Alligator mississippiensis: one gene and its partner. Each later gene encodes a partner of the first gene's protein in a complex. Links are inferred from orthologs where the notes say so. Each region holds a gene or a part of one and is shown on either strand. Other genes may lie near its edges.

Region 1 (7,072 bases):
ATTCAGTCAGTCCTGCAACGCAACTTGTTCAATTTTAACAGCTCCCATAAAGTGGCTTGCTTCATATCTGGGCTTGACAGCGAACAGTTATCAACATCAGTGGGAGAATGAAAACTACTGGTCATAACAGATAGGAGGGTATACTGTATGAACTAAGATTCAGAATAACAAAATGTTGCTCTAAATGTATCAACTTTTGACTAAAAGAAAGAGATAATATTCTGCTGTCATGAGATTAATATAAGGAAATAGCTATCCTTAAGTCTACTTATCCAAAATGACCCATGTTATTTTGTAGTGAAACTTGGATAATGCCTCTGAAATCCATCAGCCAACTAAAACAACTAGTATTATAATGTGTATTAAAACACTCTCTGTCACCCTTCCTTGTCAAAATTAAAGGTCCAGAAGTTTGGTAAACATAATCTTCCCATGCATTTAGTAAAATATCATTCATGACATCTGATTCTGGTTAGATTTAAGTGCATTTTAAATATGCTTATGTAAAAATATCATTATCTTTGGTAACTATAGCCACTGATAAAAATCTACCTAATTAAAATGGAGGAGTTTTATAATACTACCATCTATGAATAAAGCATTTTAACAGATGGAGTTCCTTAACAGATGGAGGAAATTGCAGCTCAGTGAAAATATTTAGCAAGGTCACAAAGACTTCTCTAGAAAAACACCAAGGACAAAGGTGTTGGCAGAGGTATCCCATCGGTGGTAATGCTAGGATGGGACTCAAGAACTCCTGGTTCTACAACCTGTGGCTGACCCATATGACAATCTTTTCTTTTTGGTGGCTTTAAAAAAAATCATCATTCCTGATGAAAATGAAGTCTTAATAGAAAAAATAAAAAGCAAACTATAAGAAATAAAGACAGTAATTATATAGATAAAATTCCACAGCTATCAAATTAAAGGACTGAATTTGCTTTCATTTAAGTCAATAAATACCTCTGAATCCTGATTCCCCCATCCAGTCACATACTTGAAACTGTCCTTATCCTTATTCTGCAGCACATTTTTGAATGAGAGAAATATATCCCCCAATTCTTGGAGTAGGACATGAGCAGCTTATATCTGTATGCTCCTTTATACCATAGGCTCTTTGAGGAGAAAATTGTTGTGCAACCCAATCTCACTTTTGCAAAGCTAACCTAAGCAAACAAGTTTCATCTACTTCAGTCTATGCCGTAATATTCTTAGTTACAATAAGTGACTCTTATTCAGCAATACGAACTCATTTTACAGAACACAAAACATTTAAGCTCTTTTAAGAATACTAGTTGTGTTATAATAGCAAAATGAAAGGAGCAGTATTTGGGAACATGGATAAAATTGATGTGCCTGGTATGATAACAATAGAGAAAAACATACTCCACCTGAGACACTGTCCCCCTTTCACTTGTAAATCAGTAGCTTTGAAGGAAGCCTTGGGTTGTACAATAATCAAACCTGTTTTTGAAGCTTTTTCCATCCATGTGTACAACAGAAAAATCAGGGGTGAAACTTCCCAGACAAAGTAGAGATCACGTAGTGAACTATGCAGAAATGCCAAACCAAACATGCCCTGTGGTTGCAACTGTGCCTTATCTGTGCTTCCTTGTGCCACTCTGGGCAGAACTGGTGGGGCCTAAATAAAGACATGGGGGAAAGTTATGAGGTGACCTTACAAAAATAGACAGCCTAAATCTTCCTCAAATAACAAGAAATAATGTCTGAATAATTATCTTCTCTGTTAAAGAATGCTAAGATTACAACCAAATAGTTTAAGGCAAGAGACTAGATAAGCATTAGGAAAATCCAGGTGAATTCATCAGATTTCAGTGAAGCTGATATGATAACTGATAAGTAGACATGAATTGAGGCCCTTTGTCATTTGCAATTGAAAAAAAAATGGGTAGCTTGGTGTATAAATGATACCCACCGCACTGCATGCAGGTAGAATGAACCAATTACTAATCCCACTATGGCAGAGGATCCCCTTAAAACTTAGCCTTAGGAGTCCTGACTGGAAAGTAAAAGGCCTGTGACTTTTAGGAGTAGAAATTCAGCTAACACTGTATCTTCATAAAAAAATCTTTAGAACATTTCCTTATAAAAATCATAATTATACAAATAGTGAACAATGTTCCTTCAAACGTCAGTACTTTTTTTCTTCTTCAATAATGCTTAGTTTCAAGTCTCTACTTTAAGCTGTTTCTTTCAGTTATTCCAGGTACAATCATTTTACCCTGAAAATAGAGGGGACTCCCCCCACCTCTTCACCCACAGCTAACGTTAACTCAACACGATGGACACATCTTCCTCAAATAACTCAGAGTAGGCCTGAGACCAGGAACAGACATTCTCGTGTGTGAAAGCAGTATGAGAAAGTTACAAGCAACAGAAAAAAAAGGAAGGCTGGACAGAAAGAAGCAAGAATTCGGCTATAATTCTGCATTCACAGGCCATGATGGGAATCCTGTAATTCAAAATAAGGCATAACTAGTACATTATGTTTCATAATTAGTACATTATGTACATTAGTACATCTCCCTAATGATGGAGATGTACTATTATGTTTCTTTGCACTGTTACTCTTCTTAACAACCACCACTTTTCACTTGGGTTCAGGAACCAAGATGCTACGTCATGCACTGCATTTGTAGGGTTGGTGCAGGCAGGTTGTAGTCAAAAAACTAAAGATTCTCAGCAGCTGTATAAACTGTTTTTATTCTTTAAAAAAAAAATGTTAGAGCAGATGGATGACCTTTTAGGGCTGCTGTTCATTCCACTTGTTAACTCAAGATACCTCAGTAAGTAAATAACACCCCCCCTAACTCTAGGACTCTAATACAGCCACTCAAGTGGCAGTGGGTAGGGCTGCATCCACAGCAGTATTCCTGCTTCTTCAAGCCAGCATAGCCAGGTATTAAATATTAAATTATAATATTGGAAGCTCAAAATTATCATATTTTCTGAAAAACGATTGTACATTGAACAAGTATGAAAATAAGCATGCAAATAAGTTTTATTTACTTTGTATTGCTCCGTGTAACTCGCAAGTGAGTGAGTGAGAACTGGGTCATCAAAGTTGAAGCTTTTCTTTATTTTGAGGTAAGCAGTCATAAGAAAATGCTGATAGCACATCTGAAAATGGCACTGCATAGGGGAGGGTGCACCCTGTCCAGTGAACAGGACACCCAATGAGGCTTGTAATTAGCTTCCCATGGGAGGATCTCGGCTACACACCAACTTTATGGAAATGAACAACTCCTCCCTAGCTTGCTCCTGTGGCCTTTGGTTAAGGGCAAGTGCTATGCGGGGGCATCCGAACCCCAAGCCTCCAGGCCTTTGCCTGCATGTGGGATGCCCACCAATGGATTTGGGAATATCTGATGCTTGCTGGTTGTACGGTGTATGATGCTTGAACGATTTGAGTGTTGCTCAGTCAAGAGGATTCGGAACCGATTCTGCTTATTTGACCTGAAATACAAAACAGTTCCCCCCCAAAAAAGTATCCAAAAATCAGCTAAAGCTTCACTGAGAGTGAGGTGGGTTTTGCATATGCTGCATCAATTAGCTGCCTCCAAATTATCGTCAGCTTTGAACACTGATCAAACATCATACCTGGGTTGAAATGATTGGGCAGATATGATCATTATCATAACTCTGGCAACACGGCCTCGGCGTCCCATGGCAAAGACGTTTTATGCCAGCCCCAGCGGAGAGCGGCTGCGAGCAGGCGAAGGGTAGCAGGGCAGCTACCCAGCACGAACACTACAAGTCAGGCTATGTATGCTAGGAGCTCCTCCAGTGAGACTAGGCCCCGCCCCTCTCAGGCTGGTGGGAGGGGGGCGGAGAGCGGGGTCCGTCCCCCGCCCCCCGGTGTTGGTCGGAATGCGCATGCGCGGCGGCGGCGGGCTTTAGGCCTCAGAATGTCACTCAAGATAGCAACGCCCAATCAGCGGGCGGCGGGGGCGGGGTAAATGGTGGCTGCGCTGTTTGGGGGCGGGCTGGTTGGTCCTGTTGCGGGGAGTCATCTGACCGCTCTCTCCGCAGTCGGGCCACAGCCTGGACTGTGCGGACGATCAGTTTGGGGCTGTTGCTGGAAGAGGAGGAGCAGCAACTCAGGTTTGTGGTGGCTCGCGGGGAACAGCGGCGGCTGCCGGCAACGAGGTGAGCGCGGCCGGGCCCTAGCGACGCGCACTGCCCGGTGGGAGAGGCGCGCACCGCCTCGCCTTCAGTATTCGGGGGCTCGTGGGTGGACGCCGCCTGGCCAGTACCATTCGGGGTCCCGCAGGGGGGATGGTGTCACGTGATGCCCCCCCAGCTCTGAAGCTTTAGCCTGACCCAGGTCCCCGCCTGGGGGCGCCTGTGTGGGAGACACACATAAAGGCGCTGCCCGTAGGGGGGGGTGTTTCTAGGCTGCAGGAGCCACGAGGGGGTGGAGGTGCGCTTTGGGGTCAGGGTGTGAAGCGGCTTCACCTTGGCATGGGCATTGGAGCATCTGGGTGCAGCTGGGAATTTGCTAGGGGCAGGGGGAGGGAGTGGGGCTGCTTACCCACAGGCTTGCCCCTTGGCTTTGTTTTGGACCCAGGCATTGAAGGAGTCTTTGGGAAACAATCCTAGAAAATGAGTGCTGGAAGGGACCCCAGGAGGTCCCCTAGTGCAGCAGCTCTTATCTTGTGGTCACCACCCAAAAGTGGGTGGCAAGAATATGTGAAAGGATCATGAATAAACTTTAAAAATAGATTCTCCTGTAATGGAGAAAAACATGGGAAACTGTGGCTTTTCCCTTGCAGGCTGGCTGCTTGGAGCCCCTGATGCCCCACACATCCCTCCACATGCTGGGGGGTTGGGGCTTGGGTTGAGGGGCAAGAGGTCAGGAGTGAGCGGTACCAGCAGGATCCGGGGCTGTTTTCTACTTAAAGTTGGGACTGACCATTGATGACTACAAATGGGTCCTGATATAAAATAGGTTGAGAACTGCTGACCTAGTGCAACCCCCTGCTCACAGCAGGACCTTCCCCAACTAGATCACCCCAGCCCAGGCTTTGTTGAGCTAGGCCTTCAAAACCTCTAAGGATGGAGAGTGTACCACCTCTCTGTTCCAGTGCTTTACTACTCTCCTCCAGAGGAAGTTTTTCCTAAGATCTAGTTTCAACTTCCCCTGCTGCAACTTGATTCTGAAATCCAGTTGAGGGTTGGGGATGCAGAAGGCGTTGGGGTGTGTGGAGTCCTGGGAGAAGCGGGTTGGTCCATTTTTTTTTTTTTTTTTTTTTTTTAAACTAGTGGAAGAAAGTTCTCCACACAATGCATCGTTCAAGTGTAAACTCCTCGCCTCCTTCATTTGAGCTTCATTTGAGCTTGGGGCTCCTCACCATCAGGAGCTGACGCTGTAGCCAGATTCAAAATGGGATTGCAGCATGGGATGTTGTGGTTAGATAGGAGGAAAAACTTTCTCCCCAGGAGGGTAGGAAAACACTGGAATAGGTTATGAGAGAGGTGGTAGACTCTCCCTCCTTGGAGGCTTTTAAGACCTGGCTAGACAAAGACTGGATTGAGATAAAAGATTTAGGGACGGTCCTGCACTGAACAGGGGTTTGAACTCCCGAGGTCCCTTCCAGCCCTCATTTTTCTACAATTCTGTAAAATTCTTGGTTGAAAGGGGCCTCAGTGGCGATTGAGTATGGAAGTGAGGAGCACAGCCTCTGAACCAAAACTTTTTCTAGACCCTGAATGCTGGAGGCTGCAAGTGAGAGAGGAACAGTTGGAGGAAAAGCCCTGGTCATAATCTGTTCTCTCTCCCTTCCAGCCTCTGCTCTCTGCCCATGTGACATGGCCTTTTGATATGCCATAATGTGACACGGGCCAAAGCCCACCAACTAGAGCTATATTGCAGTAGGGATTTGACCCCCACCCCCTTTGGTGATGGGGGCCACTATGGGCATATCGTTGATTATTTGGGATAACTGAAAGCCAAAACAGGGATGGGAATGAGGGTCATAAGTTCAAAATGAGTGAACTGAGGGGGGACACCAAGGAGACCACCCTGGATGTATGACACAGGCCTACTTGTTGCCTTAAAGGAATTGTGGGCCAGTGCCCACTACGAGAAACTAAAAGCCTCCCTTATAAAGGGAGGCCACTTTGAAAGCAGCAACTCATTCCGTGGGAACAACTGAAAACATAACAAGGACAGGAGCAGGTTCAAACTGAGTGCACAAGGGAGGGCACTGAGGAGAGCACGCCAGATGTGAGAGACAGGCCTTTTGACATGCCACTGGGGAATCATGGACCTTGGGCCACCAAATGAAACTATAAGCCCCCCTGCCACTAGGAGCATGTCGCTGATTTCTTGGGACAAATGATAACAAAACAGGGATGGGGCTGGAGGTCAAAGGTTCAAGACTAGTGCACTGAGGGGGGACACGGGGCAGAGCACACTGGATGTGCGACAGGCCTATTTTTTGCCTAAAGAATGCAGGCCAGTGACCACCAGGAAACATTATAAGCCTCCCTTAAAAAGGAGGGCCACTAGGTAGACAGGAGTGAGGTCCAAAGTTTCAAATGAGTGCAACAAGGTGGGATACGGAGCAGAGCACGCTGAATGTGTGACACAGGCCTATCTGCCACTTCAGGGGTTTGTGGGAGGAATGCCTACCACGTGAAACTAAGGCCCCCTCAGAGAGGGAGGCAACAGGGAAAGTGGCAGCTGATTGCTTGGGATAAATTATAACAAAACAGGGATGGGAGTGGAGGTCAAAGGTTTAAAATGAATGTGCCAGGGGGGTATAGTGGGATTTATTTGTGACGGGATCCTTAGCAGGATGGACTTATGGTCTGATCCAGTGAATGTCAATTCTTAAGTTCTTAAGTGCAGTGGTGTGCAGGAACTGCAGTTATGATAGATGGTACTTGTCCAAGAGTGAAGTAATACTATACTATTTATTCTTTAACTTTAAAATCATATTTCAGATTTTTGTCCCCCCACCAAAAATTGACCTTGGTTAGTGGATTTAAGCCAGCTAAAGGTATCTCAGATCACTTTTTATGTCTCTGTGGGCTTGCCTTGTTT
Region 2 (8,265 bases), on another chromosome or scaffold:
TTTTTTTGCCCATTTATAATTACAACTAAGCAAGCTGCATGACACCTCCTTGACTAAGATTTAAAAAATGCTACTTACCTAATATTCTCACTGACTACAGGGCAGTGAAAAACTGGGAATGATGAATAGGAAACATAAGCATAGTATTATAAAACAGCTCTTTAAGTATCTGCATGTATTTTTGATCTTGTATGTTGTGATGTCATTTCTTTATAGTAGTATTTTTAAATGTTTTCTTTCAGAACCAGTATAACCTAGCAAGAGCACAACAGTCCTATAAGTCTCTAGTACAAATACATGAGAAAAATGGTATGTAAATTTTGCAGCTCTGCTTGTTTGTACAAATTGTACAGCAGCATAGAAAATGTTTTTTACATCTGTTGTGTTTGCTCTTTGGTATTGAATAAAACTTTTTTAAAATATTGGAGCATTTTGCTGCTTAAATACTTTCCTGCTGTTTCTTTTGTCATCTTAGTTGAGAAGGATAGCAGTACTTGCAACTAAACAATCTACTGTTCACTATAAACTTATGCTATATCAAGTAAAATTATTCCATGCTTCTGGCGTGTGTTGTACTGTATTTTCACTTCAATGTGCAAAGTTGTTCTTATGGCATCTTTTGTGTCGCATCAAGTCTCCTTTTCCTTCCCCAAGAAGCTAATCAAATTATAGCACAAGCAGACAACAGTTAATGAAAGGATCAAGTTTACAGGACTGCAAGTTAAATGCAGCATGTCCAGGGGATGTTAGCTTGGCTGAACTATTCAGTTCTGCTCTGGAAAGTAGTGGCACACATCCCATACAAAGCTAGTTACCACCAGTTTGTCCTCTCAGAACTGGCACTTTCTCAAAGTGCATTAGAAATGGGACTGGTAGAATTACATCCACCTTCCCAATTGCAAAGGGGTGCAAATAGTTTGAGACCCTGAGGGGTTAAATGACTGTCAAGTGACAAGATGGCAGTAAGGCCAGAAACAAGTCTCTAGATTTATTTTTTTTTTCCCAGTCTTGAGTACCAGTTCCTGTGAGGCCATGTGGATGTGGCTGCCTCCCAACACTTAATGTTAATGCTTGTCTAGTAGAGTGAACTACTTGAAGCAAGTATTGGGTCTAAGAAATCTTATCATGATCCTTCAATTGAAAAAGACCTCACAAGTGTCGTCTAGTCCAACCTTTTGGCCCCCAGGCCATATAAGTGGTTGCACTCAAGCTGTGCTGCCTCTACCCAGCCTTGGGCACCCAGACTGGAACCCAGCCCTGCATACATAGATCAGGCTCTATGCTGCCTCTGCACAGCCTGCATCAGCTCCATGCTGCCTCTGCCCTTTGCAGGGCCCCTCAGAGATCTGGAAATTTGGCAGCAAGGAGCAGCAATTTAATGCTACCACCACTTCCCCTACACACCAAGCTTTTGGATCTGTGGGGGGCTTTGTGGGCCGGATCTGGCCTTTGAACTGGAAATTACACGCCCCTGATCTAGTTCAACCCCTTGCACAGATGCAGGATTCAGTGTACCTAAACCATTCCAGACAAGCGGTTTATCAGTCGTATTGAAAGTCTACTATGAAGGAGTTTGCACTGCTACAATTGCCTGGCAGCCTTAAAAGGATCTCATGGCAAACCCAGGTGCAGCAGCACCCTGGTTGAGAATCACTGGTATAGATCTCAAAACTGGCATATGTCCAACTTTAGCAGGCAAAATAAGATTTATATAAGCACATGCCTATGTAGTTAAACTGCAGGTGCTAGATACATGGCTTGTTGGATTGAAAAATAAGGTCCTTTTAAGGTTTTGAGATGTATGAAAACTAGATGGTGATCCTTGTTCAGTTCAGCATGCCAAGAGGAGCCTCAAATGTTAATGCTTTATTTTCAGATATAAATACTAGCTTTCCTTCTGCCGGGTGATGTTTAGGGCAGCCGGTGCCCTTTTGTTAAATTATTCCTATTTTTATAATCAAATTTTAAGCTTCCATCTTGCACAAATCAAGATAGAGCAAAAAGTTACCTTCTTGCTTACTTAGTATGGGCTTTGCAGTTGTTCTAACATTTGCACCTAACCTGTTTCTTCTACAGGCTGGTACACTCCTCCAAAAGAAGATGGTTAATACTGAGGACTGTTTTACACCTGGACCAACATCAACAAACAGAGCTCTTTTTTATTTCTCTCCAACACACACAGACTCAAGCTACAAGTGCCCCTACAACAGCCGTACTGAAGACTTTAGCTATTAGATAAATTAGTGGATAATCTGTCAACTGACACATTCAGTATAAATTACAGCCTTACCATTCCGCTCTTCTTAGGTATCTTGGACTGAGCAGTTTTGGCCTGTACTGTATTTGTCCCTCTGGATTAAGTATACTTGGGTCATTCCCTCCCTTTTCCCACTTTTTTTTTTTAATTTAAAAGTGTAAACTCTTTAAAGCAGGCTATCAAGTTACTAAAGATCACTCAATAGAAGTTGCTCACAACACTTTTTTGTGTACTTCTTACCTTTTTGCAGAACGTGGACTGCAGAGATTTGCATTGTATTATTTCATTTAAAGCCAACAAAGTTTAATACATTGTTTAATACTGTTCTAGGAAATTTCAGGTCTTGTAAATCACAGTAGTTTTTCTGGTCTAAAATGACAACATTTGTAGTATTGCCAAATTAATGATATAGGAAAACAACATGTATGCTAAGTCATTAAACTTTTTTTTCATGGCTGTGTTGAGGATATGAACTGTTTCTTGGAAGAGATACTCTTAATTAGATTGTTGTATTTTATAAGCAGAGCAAGGCTGTGCCAATAAAATCTTGTAACTAGTCACTTCCACTGGGGCATCAGAATCTTGCTGGGCTGTTCCTGCTACTTGTTGGCTCAATCTCTTAACAACGGCCACAGTATGAAGCTTGAAGTTATTTAAGATACTAAAAACCTTTTTAGGTGTTCCATTTTTTTTTATTAACGGGTTGTTGCAATCATTTGTAAACTAATGAACTTAAGTGATTGGCACAAATCAAGATGAAAATCCTTGAGCAAAAATTTTATAGAAAAAGCTAAATAAAGTACAGAAAGACATCACCCGATTCAGAGATTTTAAAAGTGTTGCCATAGTCATGACAGTGGTTTTGATATTGAAAGACTAACGGGAACTATTCTTTCTTAGGAAACGAATCTGGGTCTGTGTAATTACTATGTTTCATTGCCTTATCTAAATCAATTCTATTTTGGTTGTAGCATTAGGGATTAGACCTTTACCCCCAGGGGTTGAAATAAGGGTGTGTACCATGGATTAAGCACTTTTTAGAAGCCCAGAAGCATGTGTGTTGTTTTTTTTTTTAGTTATGACTATCAAATTTGTGCTCTTCTTCTTTTCTCTATCAGGCACCCCTGGGTCCTTGTGCATTTGCTTCTAGATCCAGTTTTTAGCTTGAAAGAACAGACTGAAGAGATTTGGCACTACTCCTGATTTTATATATTATTTCAAATAGTTTTCTAGGAAGTATAGTGAATGACTTCCCAGCCTTTCTGCTTCCTTGGTTGTATGTATATTTGTATTAAATCCTGGTAGCCAATTGCTCAAATAGCAAACTTAAGTGAAAGGCAGAACTCTTTAAGCATTAAAGTTCCTTAAAACCTGAGGCTAAAATCTTTGAATACATTATTGAATTCTTTAATATTCTAATGGGCTAGCAGGTTGACAGATGCACATTTGGCATGCTTTGTTTTGGATTTCATTTTTCATTGCAGAATTATTTGGCAATGTACAGTAATTTGTAAACTTGCATCAAGTTTATGAATAAAGAACCATTTTAAGAATTATTCTTTTTGTGGTTACTGTCTCTGGATGCAGGCAGCATTCTGTTCATGAGTACCTTGTGTTATCAGTGTAGGAGGGAGTTTAACAGGTTGCTGGTACTTTGCTTTACAGTGAAGTCTTGCTATCAGGCAGCTCTTTCATTATCCCCTAAATCAGGGGGTTTTCAACCTTTTTTTAAGGAGTGTACCCCCCTAAAGAGTTGGGGGTGGCTCCTCCAGTGACTGGTCAGCACACAGCATGCTTTTCAAGTACTTTTGGTGTGCTTCCCAGGTACACTCTGGTGCTGCAAAGAAGCGGGGGTACTTGAGAAGTGTGCTGCTGCCTTGCATACCCCCCCAGGGCCTTCCCAAGTATATACACGTATCCCTGGTTGACATCCCTTGCCCTAAATGAAGGATCATGAAACCCTGAATAGTACAAATTATCCTAGGATCGGATCTTCCACTGCTGATACCAGAAGTACTAAAACGGCTGGCTAGGGTGGAACCATTTTAAGATGCTGTTAGAGCTGTTAGTAAACTTGAAAGCATACAACTGAGTTAGAGATTGACAGCATTTACTGTCACCAATACCTTGCCTTGCACATGAAAGTGCCCATTCGTTGGCAAAATGATGACTACTTAGGTTTACATATCATTCAAATGATATCCTCTCTATGCAGCACAATGCTGGTTTTAATACTAATCCAAAGGTAACAGCACTGCCTTCTCAATTGCCAGTGGCACTTGTGTAACAGTTGTTTCCTTGACGGTTTGGTCCGGCTTGCTCTTAGCTTGGGATCTTGCAAAATTACAACAGGATGTCCTGTGGCACCAAGACTAAGAGATTAGTTTTAAGCGGAGCTATTTTCTTAGCCATTTGCCTGGAATGACCGGCTGGTGGCATAACTAGGCCAACAAAAGGCCTTCATGTCTGATGGAAAACATTTTTAAAAAACAGCTTTTACTGCGGAGCTTCCTTCTGAAGCTGCACGGCCGATGGGGCGGCGGGGCCAGTCTCTCCTGCAGCCTGGTGCCGCTCTTCGTGCTCTCGCAGCCTGCTGTAACTGCGTTCCCCAACTCAGTGCCTGCAGCACTGTCCTGGCAGATCTAAACGCATTTCTTTTTTAAACGCCAAACTCGGTCCATGCCCCAAATGTGCTGGAAACCTCGAGGCCCCCGCTAGCCTTCCCCAGCTACGTTCTCGTAAACGCCCCCCGGGGAGGAGGCGGAAGGACTGCGGCGCTAACGCATCACGTGGCCACAAACCAGAAGCGGAACCATCGTTCCCCAGTCTTTCCCCCACAGTGATCGTCGCTTCCGGCCACGTGACTCCGGGTGAGGCTCGGACGCGGATACCGTGTGATGACGCCATCAGAGCGTGCCGCCGGGCTGCGCTCTGTTCCCCGCCTGGCCGCTCGCTGCGCGGGGCCAGGCTCCAGGCCGCGGCGGTCGCCATGGAGACGGACACGCAGGGGCCCTTCGTGCTGAGCAACCTGGCCGAGGTGGTGGAGCGGGTCCTGAGCTTCCTGCCCACCAAGGCGCTGCTGCGGGCGGCCTGGTAGGCACCGGCCCCGCAGCCCTCGCCCGCCCCCTCCGTGCGCAGGGCTCCCCCAGCTCCGGCCCCGTCCGCCGCTAGGGCCTGGGCCCCGCCGCCCGCTCCCTGCCGCGGGGCTGGGCTGGGGCCGCTCGACGCCAGGCCGCTGTGTCCTTCCGCGGGGTTCGGCCGCGCCCGCTGCTGCTGCCTCGCGCCGGCGGCGCTCGGGGCGGGAGGAGCTGGCGGCGGGCGCGGGGTCGCGTGGCCAAGTTGCACGCAGGTTGGAGCAGGTCTGCGGCGGCCCCTCCCAGGCCCAGCCAGGCTGAGGTCTCTTAGGTTTAAATGTTTCCAATGGAGACTTGTTTACGAGGCTGAGAAACTTACAGCACCCGCACGGCCTGCATCTGCTCCTTGGGATCCCGATCACCGCTAAGAACGCGGGCGGGGGGTGCTGACGCCTTGTATCCAGAGAACAAGGAGCAAGCCAAGCCGTCTCTGCAGCGCTCTCGGCATCTGTACCATATCAGCATTTTATGTTGCTGATACCTACATTTTGTGCTGCAGAGAAGAACTGGGAATGAATTATTCAACGTACTGCTCTTGTGCGGGAGGAAAAAACAAGTCTCTTAACATACGGCTGTCTCTAAGTGAGGCAGCTTAGTACCGGATACTGTCAAAAACATTTTATAACTGGAAGCAACTACTAGGCCTGTACCCATGCAAATAAGTTATTCAAGTTATATAGAAGGCAGTGGCAAACAGGGTGCATTTGTTTTAAATCAAATCGATTTAAATCAGTGGTCATGAAGCCTCAATTTAATCATTGTTTTTCTACAAAAAGTGCATCTTTGTTTGATATCCTCTATTCATTTAACTTCTTGAAACTTTGCACTTTTAGAGAAAGGTAATGGCTTGACTGCATGTATGCAAACTTGCAGAGAGACAATAGGGGTGATGGGTAGGTAATCAGGTCTGTTATCTTTCATCTCCATGTACTGCTGTTAACAAGGATGTTATCTCTGGAGATGACAAACTCTCCCTATGCCTGAAGAAGGGCATTTGTGCCCGAAGCTTGCAAAGAGCAATTTTTCCAACTATTTAGTTGGTGTAATAAAAGATTTTGCCTGTCCTCAAAGAACTTTGTCTGCCTATGATCTCTGGAGACACAAATACACTGTTTGAGAACTGAAACTAAGCATCACAGAGATGCTTAATGGGATCTCCTAGACTGAGCACTGAGTCCCATTGGGTAGAGTGGTTTTCTTTAATCTTTACAATCTATAGAGGAGTTTCCGGGAGCCGTGTAAGATTGGACCCCTAATATAGTCCATGGCCTGTTGTGACCTATTTATAAAACTTTAAAAAAGATTACATGAATATATTGTCTCAAATATTGTATATATAATTAGAAGTTATAATCCCTATTCCATGATTACATCTTTGAGTTTTATCATATCTTAAATTAAAACTATCTAAATTATTTTTAAGCATTTAAAAACTGATTTACATTTAAAAAAATCAATTTATTTTATTTTATTTTAATTTAAAATTGTTGATTTTTATCCACCCTGGTGGCAAGCCACAATAATCCCAGTTCCAATTTAGTCATTCCAAGTACTTCTTTAAAGGAGTGTGGGTAACTTCTGACAGCGTGTGATAAGCATTTCCAAATCAAAAGGGAAAACAGTGGGGGACTGACACATGCCAAAGTTCCCTTTTGTAGTTGTGACGCGGAATCCTTGTATTTCAGCGTGTGCCGGTTATGGAGAGAATGCGCTCGTAGAATACTGAGAACGCAGCAGAGCGTAGCCTGGGTATCCGCCCTTGAGCCTGGTCCATCTGACACTCATTCGCTCGTCCGCACATTAGCAGAGGAACTTGAGGTAGGAGAAAATATCACAATTACACTGATACTCGTGGTTGAGTTTCTAGCTACTGTGGCAAGATCTTTGAGCAGACTCCTGTTTCTGCTGATGTATTTCTCAGTCCTTCCATAGCCTTTTTAAGTTTCAACATATATATATGAGGTCTGTTCAAAAAGAATTGAGACTGATGCTGTAGGAAACAAAAGATTTAATTTAGAGGGGTTTCGGCTTAATCTCCTTTGAAGTATGCTCCTTCCGCAGCCACACGCTTCTCCCAACGTTTCTGCCATTGTTGGAAAAACCTCTGATAAGCAATTTGTGGAATCACTAAAAGCTGGTCAGTCGCATTTTGTTTTATAGTTTTCACATCACAAAATCTTCCTTTCAAGGTTTTCTTTAGCTGAGGGAAGAGAAAAAGGTCACATGGGGCTGTATCGGGTGAATATGGAGGTTGCGGCACTTGTAGGATATGGTATTTGGCTAAAAATTGCTTCACAAGCTGTGCTGAGTGGTCAGGTGCATTGTCGTGGTGAAGCATCAGTTGGACCTCCACTTCTCTGGTTGTTTTTCTGGTCATTTCCTTCCCAAATCACTGGTTAGAATTGAATGACATGAACCAACAGAAATTCCATCTTCTGCTATCTCTCAGATAGTCAATCAAACCAAACTGTGAACCGCTGCCACATTTTCATCATTTCATGATGTTGAAGGGCATCCGGAACGCTCGTCACTTTCGACCGATGATTGTCCTTCTTTAAACCAATGATACCATTCGAAAACTCTTGCACGGCTCATAGTGTCATCACCAAATGCTATTTTAAGTAATTCAAATGTTTCACTTACCCTTTTCCTGATTTTCATGCAAAATGTAATGCATAGAAAGTGTTCTGAACACTGACATAACAAAAGGGGACATGAGATGCAAACTATCTTGCTTCAGCTGCTGGCCACAGAAAACTGGGGAAACACCATAAGCTACAAACTTGTCCAGAGGAGTCCCAACATGCCCAGACATTAGAGCTGTGCACAGTTTCGGTTGCTGAGTCGATTCGGCCCAATTCAGCAGCTGAATTT

The links.
Region 2: the proteins of BACH1 (region 1) and FBXO22 are in contact, whole or in part, in a cryo-EM structure (PDB 8S7D), measured with the Homo sapiens proteins. The link is inferred for Alligator mississippiensis from reciprocal best matches to the Homo sapiens genes BACH1 and FBXO22. Residues at the interface, in NP_001177.1 of Homo sapiens: Ser7, Val8, Phe9, Ala10, Tyr11, Glu12, Ser13, Ser14, Val15; in NP_671717.1 of Homo sapiens: Asp366, Gly371, Asn372, Phe373, Ile374, Leu375, Arg376, Lys377, Cys378.

Annotation. Positions count from the first base shown.
Region 1 is NC_081824.1:289,797,933-289,805,004, forward strand, and holds the start of BACH1 (transcription regulator protein BACH1), read left to right. Parts: upstream 1-3,991; 5' UTR 3,992-4,125; exon of another isoform or gene 4,126-4,170; intron 4,171-7,072. UniProt on the Homo sapiens protein: Transcriptional regulator that acts as a repressor or activator, depending on the context. Binds to NF-E2 DNA binding sites. Plays important roles in coordinating transcription activation and repression by MAFK.
Region 2 is NC_081834.1:30,397,092-30,405,356, reverse strand, and holds the start of FBXO22 (F-box only protein 22), read left to right. Parts: upstream 1-5,146; 5' UTR 5,147-5,246; coding exon 5,247-5,350; intron 5,351-7,076; coding exon 7,077-7,209; intron 7,210-8,265. Other genes in the region: UBE2Q2 (ubiquitin-conjugating enzyme E2 Q2), read left to right, coding at 243-309, 2,077-2,108. UniProt on the Homo sapiens protein: Substrate-recognition component of the SCF (SKP1-CUL1-F-box protein)-type E3 ubiquitin ligase complex that is implicated in the control of various cellular processes such as cell cycle control, transcriptional regulation, DNA damage repair, and apoptosis.